Linked DNA regions of Xenopus tropicalis. The protein of the gene in region 2 purifies or fractionates together with the protein of the main gene of each other region. This does not show direct contact. Links are inferred from orthologs where the notes say so. Each region holds a gene or a part of one and is shown on either strand. Other genes may lie near its edges.

What was found. The genes of interacting proteins can lie anywhere in the genome.
Region 1: the proteins of slc22a15.1 (region 2) and vapa purify together in Homo sapiens (co-immunoprecipitation; 3 studies listed by BioGRID and IntAct, with this or other methods). This does not show direct contact. The link is inferred for Xenopus tropicalis from reciprocal best matches to the Homo sapiens genes SLC22A15 and VAPA.
Region 3: the proteins of slc22a15.1 (region 2) and vapb purify together in Homo sapiens (co-immunoprecipitation; 3 studies listed by BioGRID and IntAct, with this or other methods). This does not show direct contact. The link is inferred for Xenopus tropicalis from reciprocal best matches to the Homo sapiens genes SLC22A15 and VAPB.

What each region holds. Positions count from the first base shown.
Region 1 is NC_030682.2:104,672,749-104,678,819, forward strand, and holds the start of vapa (vesicle-associated membrane protein-associated protein A), read left to right. Parts: upstream 1-2,398; 5' UTR 2,399-2,692; coding exon 2,693-2,750; intron 2,751-6,071. UniProt on the Homo sapiens protein: Endoplasmic reticulum (ER)-anchored protein that mediates the formation of contact sites between the ER and endosomes via interaction with FFAT motif-containing proteins such as STARD3 or WDR44.
Region 2 is NC_030678.2:1,132,035-1,137,891, forward strand, and holds the start of slc22a15.1 (solute carrier family 22 member 15 precursor), read right to left. Parts: upstream 3,518-5,857; 5' UTR 3,473-3,517; coding exon of another isoform or gene 3,405-3,472; coding exon 3,354-3,404; intron 2,227-3,353; coding exon 2,044-2,226; intron 1,916-2,043; coding exon 1,783-1,915; intron 1,653-1,782; coding exon 1,488-1,652; intron 743-1,487; coding exon 613-742; intron 529-612; coding exon 316-528; intron 1-315. UniProt on the Homo sapiens protein: Organic zwitterion/cation transporter with apparent specificity for amino acids and their derivatives. Has low affinity for its substrates and may regulate their flux across the plasma membrane at high substrate concentrations.
Region 3 is NC_030686.2:2,709,274-2,715,390, forward strand, and holds the start of vapb (vesicle-associated membrane protein-associated protein B/C), read left to right. Parts: upstream 1-2,444; 5' UTR 2,445-2,543; coding exon 2,544-2,601; intron 2,602-6,117. UniProt on the Homo sapiens protein: Endoplasmic reticulum (ER)-anchored protein that mediates the formation of contact sites between the ER and endosomes via interaction with FFAT motif-containing proteins such as STARD3 or WDR44.

The DNA.
Region 1 (6,071 bases), on a different chromosome or scaffold from region 2:
ATCTGGCTTAATTTGGATCCTGCAGAAATCTTGAACCATATCCTGGATTCGGTGATTCCTTTAAAATAATACAGTGAAAGCAATGAGAAATGGAATAGCATCACTAGCAAATAATAAAGTGAGAGGATTAGAAATTGCAGTTCAGCACAATATATTGTAAACAAAATGGGTAATGGCATCACTATAATTTATGACAGTGGCAGTGGTTCCTGTAAAAGCAATATATAGGCTGATTTGTTTCTCACCCTAAAGGTGGCCATACACGTTCTACCCCTATCTGACGATTCAGCCCCAAACTCTTGCCTTTGCTTGGGTGCCTTCAATGGTGCCTGATCAAAATTTTCTGTCCTGCCTGATCGACAAGACCAATATACAAGGCTTTTGCGATATTGGTTAACTCATCAATCCACTATACACGCAGCAAATATTGTACAAAACCTTGTTTTGCATGATAATGTTGGTGCTTGTATGGTAACCTTTAATCTTCTTCAGTTAGAGCAACAAAACCTCCAAAAATACCATATTTTGAAGTCTATCCAAATCTCTGCCAGTAATACATATCAGTCTTGTAAATGCATGCAATTGCCTTCTGCATTCTCACATGATTATGTGATGTAAATGTTTTTCCAGCAAAGATTCAGACTAACTTTAATACAAAGGCATTTTCAGATACTGATTATTCTTTAGTGCTGGACATAAAATGTCATGCATGCTATCAGTGTGCAAGAAGAACACTGAACCACTGTCAAACCACTTATATTGTAAGTTCTGTAGGGCAGGGATCTCCTTCCTCTTGTCTCTGACAATATTTAATGTAACTGTACTTTGTATCTATGTGTATTTATTATTGCAATGACCCCTTCTTAATTAATTTATTCATTTATTATTCTACTGTACTGTTTTACACTGGAGCTGTCCTTTGCTCTTCCGCTTATGCATGCTTTAAAATACAAAACCTGCAGCTTTGGCATTTTCTAACTTCCTGCAACTTAATGGTTCATCTTTTATTATCAAAGTGTAAATCCCTGTGCAGCCACATAGGTATTGGATAGGCTTTATACCTCCCTTCAGCCTGTCCAATCCCCAAGTGGCTGTACTGAAACTTACACTGTGACCTAATGAGCTGTTAAAAATGAGAAGTTAATAAAATCATGTCTTCCCCAAATGCCACCTGTCACTCCATAATCATCCATTGTTATATATAAACCCTTTACTCTTAGCTGTTAGTAGCTAGTGTGTTATATTATTAATCATAGTGAATTGTTATAAAAAGTTAAATAGAACTCTATGATTTCTATTAGGTTGTACCCCCTGCCTAATGCAGGCTGGGTGCATTAGGGTCACAACATGCCACATACTTTGGTAAATGTAAGAATACTGGGCATCAAGCTGTTCCAAAGATGAAAATAGTAAAATGGAAATAGCAACATGGTTTTACTCTAAAGTGGACAAAACCATAACATGTTGACGGGCGATGTAAAAGTTGTAGGGATGTACCAAATCCAGTATTTTGCCAAGATTTGGCCTTTTTCAGCAGGATTTGGATTTGGGCAGATTTATGCCTCTGACCGAAGCGAATCCGATTCCTTAAAATCACGTGACATTTTGTCACATAAACATGGAAGTTGAAGTTTTTTTTACTCTGCACTTTATCCCCTCCTCGTCCTAAAATTAGGATTCAGATTCAGTTCGGTACTTGGACGAATCTTTCACAAAATTGTTCAGGGTTTGGACGGATCCTAAAATAGTGGATTTGGGCGATCCCTTAAAAAGTGCTTGCGGCTTGTAATTGTGGGCAGGGCCTATTTTTGCCACAACAAATCAAAAGCATTTTTTACCAGAATTTATGCACATAATATGAATACATACATCTTTTTTTTCTATATTTTTACTGGAACTTTAACAATTTTTCCCAAACTGAAAAATTCAGTCTATTGCCATATGCAATATAATGGAACCTATGCAGTGGAATAGTTCAATAAACATGCAAGAGCAAGTTGCTTTACAGAGTGGTCTCACGTCGTTCCTGTGGGAATACTACAGCGCGACGCCTATAGGCTGCGTTTATAAAACTGGCATAAAGGGAAGCAATTGACAAACACCTCGTTCATTCTAAATAAGCATTAACTTGTATTGGTTTCAAATTCCCTAACATTTCCTTCACATTTGTTGCAGCATAACCGCTATCCCTTCCGCGGTGCTCAGCTGTAAAACGCCGTACTGTTTTTGAAGCACTAATGTGGAAGTGTGTGACGGGACGAATCCCGAGTGGGCGTTACCCAGGACACACGCTTGTTACGCGCATGTGCGTGCTGACGTCACCCAGTCCGTGTTCCTCCCGGCCGTGACGCGCTTGGGGCATTACGCGGTTGCCGCACTGTACTGTGTGTTGAGTCAGCGGTGACAAGGAGCGCAAGGGGGGAGGCGGAGGAGGAAAGAGCCGATACTGAACTGACCATAGTAACCCGAGCCTCGGAGCCCACACCGCTAGGCTGTGCCAGCTTTGGCCCGTTCTCCCCGCTCCAGCCTTGTCTTCCAGCGCTCGCTGCCTCTTTAAGTCACCCAGCTGCCTACCTGCTGGGCCTTCATTTGACATCTCATATTCGGCCACGTAACACAAGCGGCCTCCTCTTATTTTGCGTGTTGTGGGCCAGCCGAGCGGTGAATGGCGGTAGTTACACCCGGGGTCACCATGTCCAAACACGAACAAATCCTTATTCTTGACCCGCCCAACGAGCTGAAATTCAAAGGTAACGGGACGTATCTGGTTATGTGGTTCCGGGATGTGAGGCCACAATGCCCCGCTTTCCAGTTGTGTCTTGCGGGGAAAAGGCCTCTGATGGATGGAGAGAGTGTGGAGATTGCTGTTGCCTCTGTTGTGGTGAATCGGGGTGGCTAATCTCTGTCACATTGGTACTGGCAGCTGCACTCCTATCCACCACTGGAGGGCTGCAGCTTGGCCCTTTAGTCTATGGCACTGAGACAGCCAGTGCTAGCTGCTTACAGTGTGCTTTGTTTTACTTCTAATACTAACAGTGACAGCCTGAATAACACGTGATTGTACAATACCAGCAGATTTCACAATGCTGTACAGTAGAAGGGTGTATACATCAAACATACATTACATGAAATGTTTTAGTAAGTGTTAATTGGCCCATGATTCCCACTCTTGCAGCTCTAAAGCAATAAGTAAATATTATTTGACTTGTGGTGTTCAGGTGTGATTGGGCATTACATTGTAAAATACACTGGGGCAGGGATTTATGTGAATCATATATAATCAATGTAAAATGATGTGGTGTTCGTTGTTGCTATATAAATACAGGGTTGTGTGTGTGCTCAGAGCAGTCATGTCAGTAGCCATAGATTGCTTGGGCAGCTGTACAGAAAACTTGTTTAATGTTCAGGATTTAATTTAAGTATTGTTAGATTCACATAAGATGAAAGTGTGCACAGGCAGACTGTTGTTCCTGACAAGGCAATTAGTATAGTTGGCCATACATGGGCAGGTTTAAACTGCTGATTTGGTCCCTTCAGAACATTTTATCTGCCCATGTATGGGTCCTCCTGTCAGATTGCCCAGGTATCTATCAGGCAGGAGTAAATGCCTATTGGGGCATGGGTTACATTGCCTCATTTATGCAGTCCTCTCCTGGCCGCCTGTATCATTAGCCCGAAGATCAGTCCAGTATGGCCCAGCATATAATTGGCTTGTAAAGCGAAGTACCACACCAGCGCCTGCACATATTGGTAGCCTTCTTGGGAACTAAATGAACTCTCTGAAAACTGGCATTAAACAAGCACATAGGTGCCCATATTGGGCACAGAGCTGCTCATTTGGCAACCTGGACAAATGAGTGAATCTTCTTGTGTATAGCCACCTGAATACTGTGATAGGAAATATAAGGTGGGTGAGATCTTACAATTTCAGATCAATAATACAAGTGAAAGGATGAACTCTAAGCAGGTTTCAAGGACAACATTTATTTTTGGCCACCAGGTCTCTCTGTTTTAGCCTTAGGTATCCAGGTGTTGTGGGGTGTCAACTCCTTTAATTTCTTAACATATAATCCAAAATCCAATTAAAAGCATACTGAGAAAATAGGTTTCAGGCCACAAAACTGTTTTTAAACTGACTCAAACCACACAGATTTGCTGTCCCTATAGTGTGTTTGTGTGGTGGTGTTTTTTTTTTTTTTTTTTTTTTGGTAATCCTGAGGGAACTTTGGACTCTTACCAGTACAGTATTTCTCTGTTGCAGGAATGTCCCAGAATCCATTGGTTCTTTTTTTTATTTCTCCTACGCCTCACCTGCTTTTTATAAGCAATTTCACAATTTCTCTGCCCATTTGAAACATAATTGCCTACATTAAAGTTAAGATTACAGAAGGTTACAGGTGTTTTAAACATTACTGTTATTGCCATTTTTAAATCTCCTTTACAAACATTGTAATGTAAAATTCTGTCACTACAGGATCTGCTCCTACGAATGGGGAGCAAGGAGTTGAGGTATGTCAGGTTTACAGGTTTTAAGTAAAGATATGCTTTGGATCAAATTTTTAGTTTGGTCAGACCATCAGTGATCCAAAGGATTGCAGAAACATCCTAGGTGACATTTAGGTGCAGGCAGAAAAAAAAACACCCAATCTGGTCATAAATGTCCAATTTAATTCTATAAACTAAGCCAAAAACCTGTGCTTCTCTATTTTCTTTGTTTTCTTATTTTGCACTTCACAAACATGTACCAAGGAAGTAGCAGTCCTTATTGTCATAAAAAAAAAAAAAATCTAAACAATTTATTTTTTAATTTTTATTATTCACCTTTCATGAGAAACTCCACTACAGAGCTATACTAATGGCATCATGTGGGAGCACAAAATTGCACTGCAAGGCTCAGAAGGTTTGTCTGAGACTTGCAGGGATCTGGGCAAATCCTGAATGGACTACTGAGTTTAATGTATTCTTAATCTAATGGAGCAGGTATTCATCTGACAGACACTGGGGAAACAACTTTTGTCTGTGGTCACCCAGTAACACAATAAGAAATGTAGTAGTAAGGCATTTGTCATAAGCCCAGTTATGAGTTTAGTTTTCAGGTATTACTGGATTTTGTTTCAGCATGGGGATGTCAAAGCTTTATATGCAGGTATTTGCGCTTTTATTCCAATACCTGTTATCCAGAAAGCTCTAAGTTAGGGAAGACCATCTCCCATAAAGTCTATTTTAATCAAATATTTTTTAAACGAATTTCCTTATTCTCTGTAGTAATAGGACAATGCTGTGTTCTTGATATCTTAGAAATAAAAAGATATTTTTTTTTTATTGCAAGGTCATTGTGACTTAAAAAAATGGAATTCCCCGCCGCAGCTGTGGTTTGCAAAAGCAGTACTGCCGAGTACTGTTGGGGACTACACCATGTGCCTATTCCTCATGCAGGCAGCCATGTTGGGGCACATGTATGTACAGACTGTCCTAGGTCTGGGACACTTGTTTTCTAAGGGTATGTTCACCATCCCAATTCAGGTTTAGACATATGCACATGCACATATTGAATATATTTACTCTTGTAAATATCCTAATTTGCTCCCTGGTGGGTGCCTAACATATAGGCTACCTCAGTGTTAGTAGCTTTCCTTGTGCTTTTTTTTTTTTTTTTTCTTTTTATGGTTTTTTGGTGTAACATTTTTCTCTGTTGCACACAACCCAAGCATGTTAACAGTTTGGAGTCTCATCCAACTAGGTTTCCATCTTGAGTGAGCAACTGTGGCGTGACTATACAGTGGCCCCAGACAATGTTGGTTATCCTAAGTGGATGCATTAACTGGGTGATTGGTTATAAGTGTCTTCATTTCCATGACTAATATAGGGTATCATTGGTTTCAGCAGATTGGTAAAAGGAATAACTCCATAAAGTTCAACCTTTATTCTGGAAATGGTAACCATTGGACTCGTACATTCTTTTGTAAGGATGATTTTGACTGCAGGGTCAAAGTTAACTTGACCCCCTAGTATTTTGTGTAGCTGAGGGTTTGGATATATTGGTGGTTTTTATGATTTTGTCAACTTATTAC
Region 2 (5,857 bases):
GACAAAGGGGATTCTGGGATATCTAACCCTGACAAAGGGGATTCTGGGATATCTAACCCTGACAAAGGGGATTCTGGGATATCTAACCCTGACAAAGGGGATTCTGGGATATCTAACCCTGACAAAGGGGATTCTGGGATATCTAACCCTGACAAAGGGGATTCTGGGATATCTAACCCTGACAAAGGGGATTCTGGGATATCTAACCCTGACAAAGGGGATTCTGGGATACCGCACCCTGAGCAGAACAAGCTTGCTTAGTGGGAGGAGAGGGGTAAATAGGAGGCAAAGGGTAGTTGCCCATTCGGTACCTACCAGACCCACATCATGATGAGTGTGCGCTGGCGCAGGATGGCGTTGCTGTATATGGTGAGGATGTTGGCGCTGTGGGCGGAGTCTTTCTGCCGCGGGCAGAGAGTGAATGAAGTGACCTTCCTGCGGTTCCTGCGCCCCAGAGAGAGTAAGGATTCCTGTGCCTCGCGGAGGCGCCCCTGAGCGTGCAGCCAGCGGGGGGATTCTGGGATACAGCTGTAACCAACATGAGATTCCCGTTATTTCCCCTCCCACTAAGGGGTGTGGCCCCAACACTGACACTCCCACACCGATACTCACAGGGAAAGCGCCAGCACGGCCGCTCCTTGCACATTCACCAGCAGGGCCAGCAGCCTCCATGAGCGGATAAAGTACCCAATCAGGGCAAACTGGGCAATGCCCACAGCAAAGCAGAGGGAACCCAGCGAGCCTGTGAGCACAAAGAGGGGGGGCAGTGTGACACGGGGGCACAGAAGTGCTGAACTACAAACCCCAGTATCTGAGAAGTGGGGGTTCCAGTATCAGCAGCTCTGGGAAGGGACATGGGGTGTCAGGCAGCAAAGGGTTAAAGGCATTGTTCACCTTTTAGTTAACTTTTAGTTTGATGTAGAGACTTATATTCTGAGACAACTTGCAATTGGTCTTCATTTTTTATTATTTTTAGTTTTTCCACTTTTTGTTCAGCAGCTATCTGGTTGCTAGGGTCCAAATTACCTTAGCTACCAGGTAGAGGTTTACGCGAGAGGCTGGTATATGAAGAGGAGAGGGGCCTGAATAGAAAAAGTTATAAAACGTGACAATAAATCTATAGCATCGCGGAGCAATAGTTTTTAGCTGCCGGGGTCAGTGACCCCCATTGGAAAGCTGCAAAGAATAAGGCAAATAATTCAAAAACTATAAAAAATAAATAATGAGGACCAATTGGAAAGTTGCTTACAATAGGCCATTCTGTAACATAGTAAAGTTAAAAACATAAGAGGTGACCCACCCCTTTATGGGGCTGAATGCATTTTTGGGAGATCTGGTAACATGGATTTAACCACAGGCAACAAATCTTATTGTGTACAATTGCCCCTAGGGGTAATATAAAAACTTTGAGGGGGTGCAGCGAATAACAGGACAGGGTAATGGCCTGGGAGGAGCCATGGGAGGATTTAGAGAAGAAGGTGCAGTACCCGCAGCTGCCCAGTAGGAGGCACCAATACATTCATTGAGCAGGACAAAGGCCACGAGCGACATGCCGCCATTCATGACTCCTACGAGAAACCGCGTCAGCAGGAACAGCGGGAATATGGGGGTCAGTGCGTTCATCACGGCAAATACCACCTCCAGGGCCAAACCTGCGGGAACAAGAGACAAACCGGCCAATAGCCTCTCACTGCCAGCCAAGCCACACCCCCCAGAGTGCCAAGTGCCACCCCAGTCCCTGGCGCCTGCGTCTCCCTATAAAGATGCCCACTTGCCCCTTACCCGTCACATACACCGGCTTCCTACCAAACCGGTCCGACAGTTGCCCAAAGCTGATCACCCCGATGAGAACTCCTCCGAAATACACCGAGCTGGACACACTGACCTCGTACGCGGCCCCTCCCACTAGGAACCACTGGGAGACCCAGTGCAATGGGAAGGCAGGAGAGTGAGAGGCGGGTCCCCCAAACTGCAGGAAACCTTGCTGGGGGGGGGCGGGGGGTTACACCATGTATACTGGGGGGTACCAACAGGCGTACCTACCTCTGACACAATGGAGGTAAAGTTTCCATCAAAGACCACATGTCCATGTTCTCCCTCTGCAGGTAATTGGCTCCCATATTGCTTCCCCCGGCTGCCATTGGCTGTAAGGCTGTCATTCATCCAGTGGTATGGGGGGGTGGCCCCCAGTATGGTTATAATGATGGCTTCTGTGGCAGAGTAAAGCTGGGGGCACATTGGTTTGTATGAATAACGTCAGTTCCCAGGGTATCAGCTCCTTCTGCCCCCCCCCCCCATCAGCTCCTTCTGCCCCCCCCCCCATCAGCTCCTTCTGCCCCCCCCCATCAGCTCCTTCTGCCCCCCCATCAGCTCCTTCTGCCCCCCCCCCATCAGCTCCTTCTGCCCCCCCCCCCATCAGCTCCTTCTGCCCCCCCCCCATCAGCTCCTTCTGCCCCCCCCCCATCAGCTCCTTCTGCCCCCCCCCATCAGCTCCTTCTGCCCCCCCCCATCAGCTCCTTCTGCCCCCCCCATCAGCTCCTTCTGCCCCCCCCATCAGCTCCTTCTGCCCCCCCCCATCAGCTCCTTCTGCCCCCCCCATCAGCTCCTTCTGCCCCCCCCATCAGCTCCTTCTGCCCCCCCCATCAGCTCCTTCTGCCCCACCCCCCCCTGCTCTCAGCTCCTTCTGCCCCATCCCCCCACTATCAGCTCATTCTACCCCATCCCCCCCCCACTATCAGCTCATTCTACCCCATCCCCCCCCCACTATCAGCTCATTCTACCCCATCCCCCCCCCACTATCAGCTCATTCTACCCCATCCCCCCCACTATCAGCTCATTCTACCCCATCCCCCCGCTATCAGCTCATTCTACCCCATCCCCCCCACTATCAGCTCATTCTACCCCATCCCCCCCACTATCAGCTCATTCTACCCCATCCCCCCCGCTATCAGCTCATTCTACCCCATCCCCCCCACTATCAGCTCATTCTACCCCATCCCCCCCCGCTATCAGCTCATTCTACCCCATTCCCCCCTACTAACAGCTCTTTCTGCCCCATTCCCCCCCATCAGCTCCTTCTACCCCATCCCCCCCCCCGCTATGAGCTCATTCTGCCCCACCCCCCCATCAACTCCTTCTGCCCCATCCCCCCCCTGCTGCGAGTTGCTTCTGCCCCACCCCGATATCAGCTCCTTCTGGGACACTATATTCCCACTATATACACTGTGCAGACAAGGGGGGGCGCTGAACTTTTACCTCCCCAGTCAGCTGCCCCTTATAATCAGCCCCCCCCCCTGCCCCACATCATGTGACCCCCCCCCTGCCCCACATCATGTGACCCCCCCCCCACTCACCTGCAGCAGTACAGCCAATAGGAAGGAGAGGTAGATCTGATAGATTCCCATTTCCCCCACCAGCTTCAGTGCCCCCTCCACCTCCATCTGTGGGACCCGCCGGCCTGAGCATGGGGTGTCTGTAAGGGAACCGACCAATCATATTATACTGTGCCCAGAACTTGCCCCGCCTGGGGCATTACTGACCCACCCAGGGGTTACAGAGCCAAATACTGGCACAGTGACCAACTGCAATCTGTACCCCCGGGCCGCTCCCACTGGGGCAGAATCCTAGAAGCAGTGTTTGTCCAAAAAGCTGACACTCTAGCAAGGAGGTGGGGCCACTCATACCTGTGATTGGGAGCTGGCCAATCAGAGAGAGACCCCAGGAGAGAGAGTTAGTGATTGGCCAGTTTGGGGCAGATATGAGGGGCACAAACCCGGGAAACAGCAATGACTCAAACACGGAGACCCGCCCACTTATTGGCTACAGCCCCGCCCCTTGGCCCCACCCCCAATGTACCTACCCCATACTCCTATAACTCATCATAATATCTGCCCCTCCAGCCTGTAGCGCTATAGGAACGTACTTACCCCTCGGCTCGGGGTATGGGGGTAGGTACATTCCCCTCCCCCCCACACCTACTAACCGCTAGTTCCTCCGCGCTGTTCCACTACCTACACCCCCAGCCGGTACTTACCTCCCCCGTATCTTCCTGGCAGGTACAGCCCCGCCCACAGGGGGCGTGTCTTTGTTACTTTCTTTGTATACGTTTTTGATTTGTGCAAACCGAGCTACGGGGCGTGGCCAAGGATGTGGGCGGGAAAAAGAGAGCGTAGGAATTTACATCGATCGCGAAAGAGAGGCTTGAACCGCAAGACTATGGTTTGCCGGCTGAGTCAAGTAAATCTACCCGGTGCCCCACCTCAATTGCTCCCCATGGCTACAGTAACGCCTTCCCTCCTACTATATACTCCCCTCAGTATAGTAACCCTTCCCTCTCATCGTACAAACCCCTTCTCTACTACTTCATATCCCAATGTAGTTATTAACCCGTGAGTGGGCGGGACGCATGGGGCGTGAGTGGGCGGGGTGCATGGGAGGGCGGGCACTTGGTCTTAATTTTTTTATTATGTGTAGTTTTTTAATGATATCACTTTTTGTTCAGCAGCTCTGCAGTTTGGAGTTTCAGCAGCTATCTGGTTGCTGGGGCCAAATTATCTTAGCAACCAGGGAGTAATTTGAATGAGAGACTGAAAAATTGATAGGAGAGGACATTAATAGAAAGATAAGGAATAAAAAGTAACAATAAAACTGGAGCCTCACAGAGCAATAGGGTTTGGCTGCCGGGGTCAGTGACCCCCATGTGGAAGCCCAGTCTGGGGGTTTCCCCCCCAACACAATAAAACTGGAGCCTCAGAGCAATAGGGTTTGGCTGCCGGGGTCACTGACCCCCATGTGGAAGCCCAGTCTGGGGGTTTCCCCCCCAACACAATAAAACTGGAGCCTCAGAGCAATAGGGTTTGGCTGCCGGGGTCACTGACCCCCATGTGGAAGCCCAGTCTGGGGGTTTCCCCCCCAACACAATAAAACTGGAGCCTCAGAGCAATAGGGTTTGGCTGCCGGGGTCACTGACCCCCATGTGGAAGCCCAGTCTGGGGGTTTCCCCCCCAACACAATAAAACTGGAGCCTCAGAGCAATAGGGTTTGGCTGCCGGGGTCAGTGACCCCCATGTGGAAGCCCATTCTGGGGGTTTCCCCCCCAACACAATAAAACTGGAGCCTCACAGAGCAATAGGGTTTGGCTGCCGGGGTCACTGACCCCCATGTGGAAGCCCAGTCTGGAGGTTTACCCCCCAACACAATAAAACTGGAGCCTCACAGAGCAATAGGGTTTGGCTGCCGGGGTCACTGACCCCCATGTGGAAGCCCAGTCTGGAGGTTTACCCCCCAACACAATAAAACTGGAGCCTCACAGAGCAATAGGGTTTGGCTGCCGGGGTCACTGACCCCCATGTGGAAGCCCAGTCTGGAGGTTTCCCCCCCCAACACAATAAAACTGGAGCCTCACAGAGCAATAGGGTTTGGCTGCCGGGGTCACTGACCCCCATTTGAAAGCTGCAAAGTGTTAGAAAAAGACAGCGAATATTTAAAAAAACTATACAAAATAAATAGTAGAAAAGTTGCTCAGAGTTGGCCATTCTATAACAAACTAAAAGTTAACTTAAAGGTGACCCCGCCCTTTAACTTGTGCCCCTCAGTGGGAGGAGCCTGGGCCAAGCTGCCTATAGGTGAGTGCAAGGTGTCTAATTGATGGATCAGAACAGTGAAACTGACAGTTTGTTTTCCTTTGGGTCTTCAGAGCAAGTAATGACATGTATCCTGTTATTGGTTCCAGTCCCACCCCCGGGAACTCCTCCTTATCTGTAAGCCCCGGGCACAGGCAGCAGCTGGGGGAGGGGCCTATTCTTACTATTATTCTGTGTTTATATGTGCAGCATGGTGCGGAGATTATACATCATTC
Region 3 (6,117 bases), on a different chromosome or scaffold from region 2:
AGAGAGAGCGGTACGGGCGGTGAGAGAGAGCGGTACGGGCGGCGGGAGAGAGCGGTACGGGCGGCGGGAGAGAGCGGTACGGGCGGCGGGAGAGAGCGGTACGGGCGGCGGGAGAGAGCGGTACCGGCGGCGAGAGAGAGCGGTACCGGCGGCGAGAGAGAGCGGTACCGGGCGGCGGGAGAGAGCGGTACCGGCGGCGGGAGAGAGCGGTACGGGCGGCGGGAGAGAGCGGTACCCGGCGGCGGGAGAGAGCGGTACCGGCGGCGGGAGAGAGCGGTACCGGCGGCGGGAGAGAGCGGTACCCGCGGCGGGAGAGAGCGTGAGAGAGAGCGGTACGGGCGGCGGTGAGAGAGCGGTACGGGCGGCGGTGAGAGAGCGGTACGGGCGGTGAGAGAGAGCGGTACGGGCGGTGAGAGAGAGCGGTACGGGCGGTGAGAGAGAGCGGTACGGGCGGTGAGAGAGAGCGGTACGGGCGGTGAGAGAGAGCGGTACGGGCGGTGAGAGAGAGCGGTACGGGCGGTGAGAGAGAGCGGTACCGGCGGTGGGAGAGAGCGGTACGGGCGGTGAGAGAGAGCGGTACCGGCGGTGGGAGAGAGCGGTACCCGGCGGTGGGAGAGAGCGGTACCGGCGGTGAGAGAGAGCGGTACGGGCGGTGAGAGAGAGCGGTACGGGCGGTGAGAGAGAGCGGTACGGGCGGTGAGAGAGAGCGGTACGGGCGGTGGGAGAGAGCGGTACGGGCGGTGAGAGAGAGCGGTACGGGCGGTGGGAGAGAGCGGTACGGGCGGTGAGAGAGAGCGGTACGGGCGGCGGGAGAGAGCGGTACCCGGCGGCGGGAGAGAGCGGTACCGGCGGCGGGAGAGAGCGGTACGGGCGGTGGGAGAGAGAGCGGTACCGGCGGCGGGAGAGAGCGTGAGAGAGAGCGGTACGGGCGGCGGTGAGAGAGCGGTACGGGCGGCGGTGAGAGAGCGGTACGGGCGGCGGTGAGAGAGCGGTACGGGCGGTGAGAGAGAGCGGTACGGGCGGTGAGAGAGAGCGGTACGGGCGGTGAGAGAGAGCGGTACGGGCGGTGAGAGAGAGCGGTACCCGGCGGTGGGAGAGAGCGGTACCGGCGGTGGGAGAGAGCGGTACCCGGCGGCGGGAGAGAGCGGTACCGGCGGCGGGAGAGAGCGGTACGGGCGGTGGGAGAGAGAGCGGTACCGGCGGCGGGAGAGAGCGTGAGAGAGAGCGGTACGGGCGGCGGTGAGAGAGCGGTACGGGCGGCGGTGAGAGAGCGGTACGGGTGGTGAGAGAGAGCGGTACGGGCGGTGAGAGAGAGCGGTACGGGCGGTGAGAGAGAGCGGTACGGGCGGTGAGAGAGAGCGGTACGGGCGGTGAGAGAGAGCGGTACGGGCGGTGAGAGAGAGCGGTACGGGCGGTGAGAGAGAGCGGTACGGGCGGTGAGAGAGAGCGGTACCGGCGGTGGGAGAGAGCGGTACCGGCGGTGGGAGAGAGCGGTACCGGCGGTGAGAGAGAGCGGTACCGGCGGTGGGAGAGAGCGGTACCGGCGGTGGGAGAGAGCGGTACGGGCGGTGAGAGAGAGCGGTACCGGCGGCGGGAGAGAGCGGTACCGGCGGTGGGAGAGAGCGGTACGGGCGGTGAGAGAGAGCGGTACCGGAGGTGGGAGAGAGCGGTACCGGCGGTGGGAGAGAGCGGTACCGGCGGTGAGAGAGAGCGGTACCGGCGGTGGGAGAGAGCGGTACCGGCGGTGGGAGAGAGCGGTACCGGCGGCGGGAGAGAGCGGTACCGGCGGCGGGAGAGAGCGGTACCGGCGGCGGGAGAGAGCGGTACCGGCGGTGGGAGAGAGCGGTACCGGCGGCGGGAGAGAGCGGTACGGGCGGCGGGAGAGAGCGGTACCGGTGGGAGAGAGAGCGGTACCGGCGGTGAGAGAGAGCGGTACCGGTGGGAGAGAGAGCGGTACCGGCGGCGGGAGAGAGCGGTACCGGCGGTGGGAGAGAGCGGTACCGGCGGCGGGAGAGAGCGGTACGGGCGGCGGGAGAGAGCGGTACCGGTGGGAGAGAGAGCGGTACCGGCGGTGAGAGAGAGCGGTACCGGTGGGAGAGAGAGCGGTACCGGCGGCGGGAGAGAGCGGTACGGGCGGCGGGAGAGAGCGGTACCGGCGGCGGGAGAGAGCGGTACCGGCGGCGGGAGAGAGCGGTACCGGCAGGAGGGGCGGGACAACCCGGTACCAATAAGGGGAGATCCCGCGGGTTTATATTCCCGGATATCTATGTGACATTACACAGGGCGGATACGGGGTCCCGCACATACGCTGCCAGCGCTAACTTGCCCCTCCCCCCCAGGCGCCGCCATGTTGGCCCTTGAGCCCCAGTGCGCAGCCGCGGCCCCGCCCCCAGCCCTTGCGCCTGCGCGCCGCTCACCCCCGGGCCTTGCAGGGGCCGTGACGTCACAGCAGCCTCCGCCCTCCGCCGCTTTGCTGCATCACCCGCTCCTGCAGCCGCCACCGCCGCCGGGACAGGCCCGGACCCCCAGCCCACACGGGAGACATGGCCAAGGTGGAGCAGATCCTTCAGCTGGAGCCCCAGCATGAGCTCAAGTTCCGAGGTACCGGGGGCTCTGGGGCACTCACATTAATCCTGCAATGTACGGCTTGGGGGTACTGCTGGGATACAATCCTCTAATGTACGGCTTGGGGGTACTGCTGGGATACAATCCTCTAATGTACGGCTTGGGGGTACTGCTGGGCTACATGGGTTATAATCCTGTAATGTATGGGTTGGGGGTACTGCTGGGCTACAATCCTGTAATGTAGGGGTTGGGGGTACTGCTGGGATACAATCCTGTAATGTAGGGGTTGGGGGTACTACTGGGCTACATGGGTTATAATCCTGTAATGTATGGGTTGGGGGTACTGCTGGGCTACAATCCTGTAATGTAGGGGTTGGGGGTACTGCTGGGCTACAATCCTCTAATGTACGGCTTGGGGGTACTGCTGGGATACAATCCTCTAATGTACGGCTTGGGGGTACTGCTGGGATACAATCCTCTAATGTAGGGGTTGGGGGTACTGCTGGGCTACATGGGTTATAATCCTGTAATGTATGGGTTGGGGGTACTGCTGGGCTACAATCCTGTAATGTAGGGGTTGGGGGTACTGCTGGGATACAATCCTGTAATGTAGGGGTTGGGGGTACTACTGGGCTACATGGGTTATAATCCTGTAATGTATGGGTTGGGGGTACTGCTGGGCTACATGGGTTATAATCCTGTAATGTATGGGTTGGGGGTACTGCTGGGCTACAATCCTGTAATGTAGGGGTTGGGGGTACTGCTGGGCTACATGGGTTATAATCCTGTAATGTATGGGTTGGGGGTACTGCTGGGCTACAATCCTGTAATGTAGGGGTTGGGGGTACTGCTGGGCTACATGGGTTATAATCCTGTAATGTATGGGTTGGGGGTACTGCTGGGCTACATGGGTTATAATCCTGGAATGTATGGGTTGGGGGTACTACTGGGCTACATGGGTTATAATCCTGGAATGTAGGGGTTGGGGGTACTACTGGGCTACATGGGTTATAATCCTGGAATGTATGGGTTGGGGGTACTGCTAGGCTACATGGGTTATAATCCTGGAATGTATGGGTTGGGGGTACTACTGGGCTACATGGGTTATAATCCTGGAATGTAGGGGTTGGGGGTACTGCTGGGCTGCATGGGTTATAATCCTGGAATGTATGGGTTGGGGGTACTGCTAGGCTACATGGGTTATAATCCTGGAATGTATGGGTTGGGGGTACTACTGGGCTACATGGGTTATAATCCTGGAATGTAGGGGTTGGGGGTACTACTGGGCTACATGGGTTATAATCCTGGAATGTATGGGTTGGGGGTACTGCTAGGCTACATGGGTTATAATCCTGGAATGTATGGGTTGGGGGTACTACTGGGCTACATGGGTTATAATCCTGGAATGTAGGGGTTGGGGGTACTACTGGGCTACATGGGTTATAATCCTGGAATGTATGGGTTGGGGGTACTGCTGGGCTACATGGGTTATAATCCTGGAATGTATGGGTTGGGGGTACTGCTAGGCTACATGGGTTATAATCCTGGAATGTATGGGTTGGGGGTACTACTGGGCTACATGGGATATAATCCTGGAATGTACGGCTTGGGGGTACTGCTGGGCTGCATGAGTTGTAATCCTGGAATGGGGGATGCTGGGGTGCAGGGCCAGTGGGGGCCGCTGGGGTGCAGGGCCAGTGGGGGCCGCTGGGGTGCAGGGCCAGTGGGGGCCGCTGGGGGGCAGGGCCAGTGGGGGCCGCTGGAGGGCAGGGCCAGTGGGGGCCGCTGGGGGGCAGGGCCAGTGGGGGCCGCTGGGGGGCAGGGCCAGTGGGGGCCGCTGGGGGGCAGGGCCAGTGGGGGCCGCTGGGGGGCAGGGCCAGTGGGGGCCGCTGGGGGGCAGGGCCAGTGGGGGCCGCTGGGGGGCAGGGCCAGTGGGGGGTGCAGGGCCAGTGGGGGGCGCTGGGGTGCAGGGCCAGTGGGGGGCGCTGGGGTGCAGGGCCAGTGGGGGACGCTGGATTACAGGGCCAGTGGGGGACGCTGGGGTGCAGGGCCAGTGGGGGACGCTGGGGGGCAGGGCCAGTGGGGGGCGCTGGGGGGCAGGGCCAGTGGGGGACGCTGGGGTGCAGGGCCAGTGGGGGGCGCTGGGGTACATCCCATTTCAGAACCTGCCTGAGGGAGGTCTTGTAACCATGAGTGCAAGGGGTTGCTGGGATACAGGGCTGAAGGTAGGGGGTCCCTATTATAACTGTCAGTTTGGTATGTGGGTAAAGGGCAGAGAGCTCCCTGATAACAAAGAGGAGTAGTGCCCCCTAATTATATGGGGGTTCCCTGGGGCCCTGCTGTGCTCCCCAGTCCTGATCCATTTATGCCCCCGTAGTGCCAGTAGGGTGCAGGGTGCACAGCCCCGATGCTGTATCCAATATACAGGGGGTATATATAGGGTGTAATGGGGCGCATATACTGGGGGCAGTGATACATAAAGTCCTGTCTGTGCCCCCCTCCCATTGGCTGCATTCCTTCTGACTGCTGATTGGGCAGTGTTGGCACAGTGTGTGTGGGTAGGGGACCCTGCGCCCACTCTGTGCGTTAGTGACACTGGGGGCTCGGGGTGGGGTGGGGGGGGTATTCGGTACTTTGTAACGGTGAGGAAACCACCAAGGGAGGCCGGACAATTGTAGGAAGCCCTGGGGGGGCTGAAGGGTGAGTCCGACCCATGGGTGTGGGGGCCACTCCCCGACCTTTCATCCACTGCCATTTTTGGCTCCTTATTAATTAATTAATTTATTGGGAAACATGGGGCTTTCAGGCGGGATTGTTGGGTCAGGGCTCTGTCTCTGTTATTATTATTATTATTATTATTATTATTAACATTGATGTATAAAGCGCCAACATATCCCGCCGCGCTGCCTTTGCTTGGGGTTGGGGCTTTTTGCGGGTTCCCTGCGGAGCTGGTGCCCCCCCCCCCCCGTGCCCCATCCCATCTCTGTACATGGGGGGCACACACAGTGTCGGATGTCCCACAATGCCCCACCTGTTCTACACATTATCCTGCTCCATTCATTCCCAGCCAGCCCGGCCCCCAGCACCTCCATATTTATAGAACACCCCCTGCCCTGTGCATTATGGGTCGGGGATACAGGCCTGACGGGGAAACAGCCGACCCGACAGAACCAGCAGCACATGTTGTGCATAACCCGCTCTCCGGCGCCGGGGTCATTGCACCTGGGTACATATTAATACCCACAATAAGCCCCCCTGTATGGGTTTCCCTTGGTGTTGCCCCCAGCAGAGCAGAGATCCCGGGGTGTTGGGCAGTGAATCATCTCTCCCGTAGGGGAGGGCCCGGTTACACCAGCACTATATTTAGTTGGCATGTTGGCCGGCCCTGTTCCTCGGGATTATCTGCCCTGGGACAGCTCCGCACTATATTTATATCTATAGATTTATATTAGGGACGCACTGAGCCCAGGGTTCGGCCAAGATCCGGCCCTTTCCCGCAGGGTTCTGCTCCATGCACGGCTCTCTTTAACCCCTTTGGTATCGTTCAATATT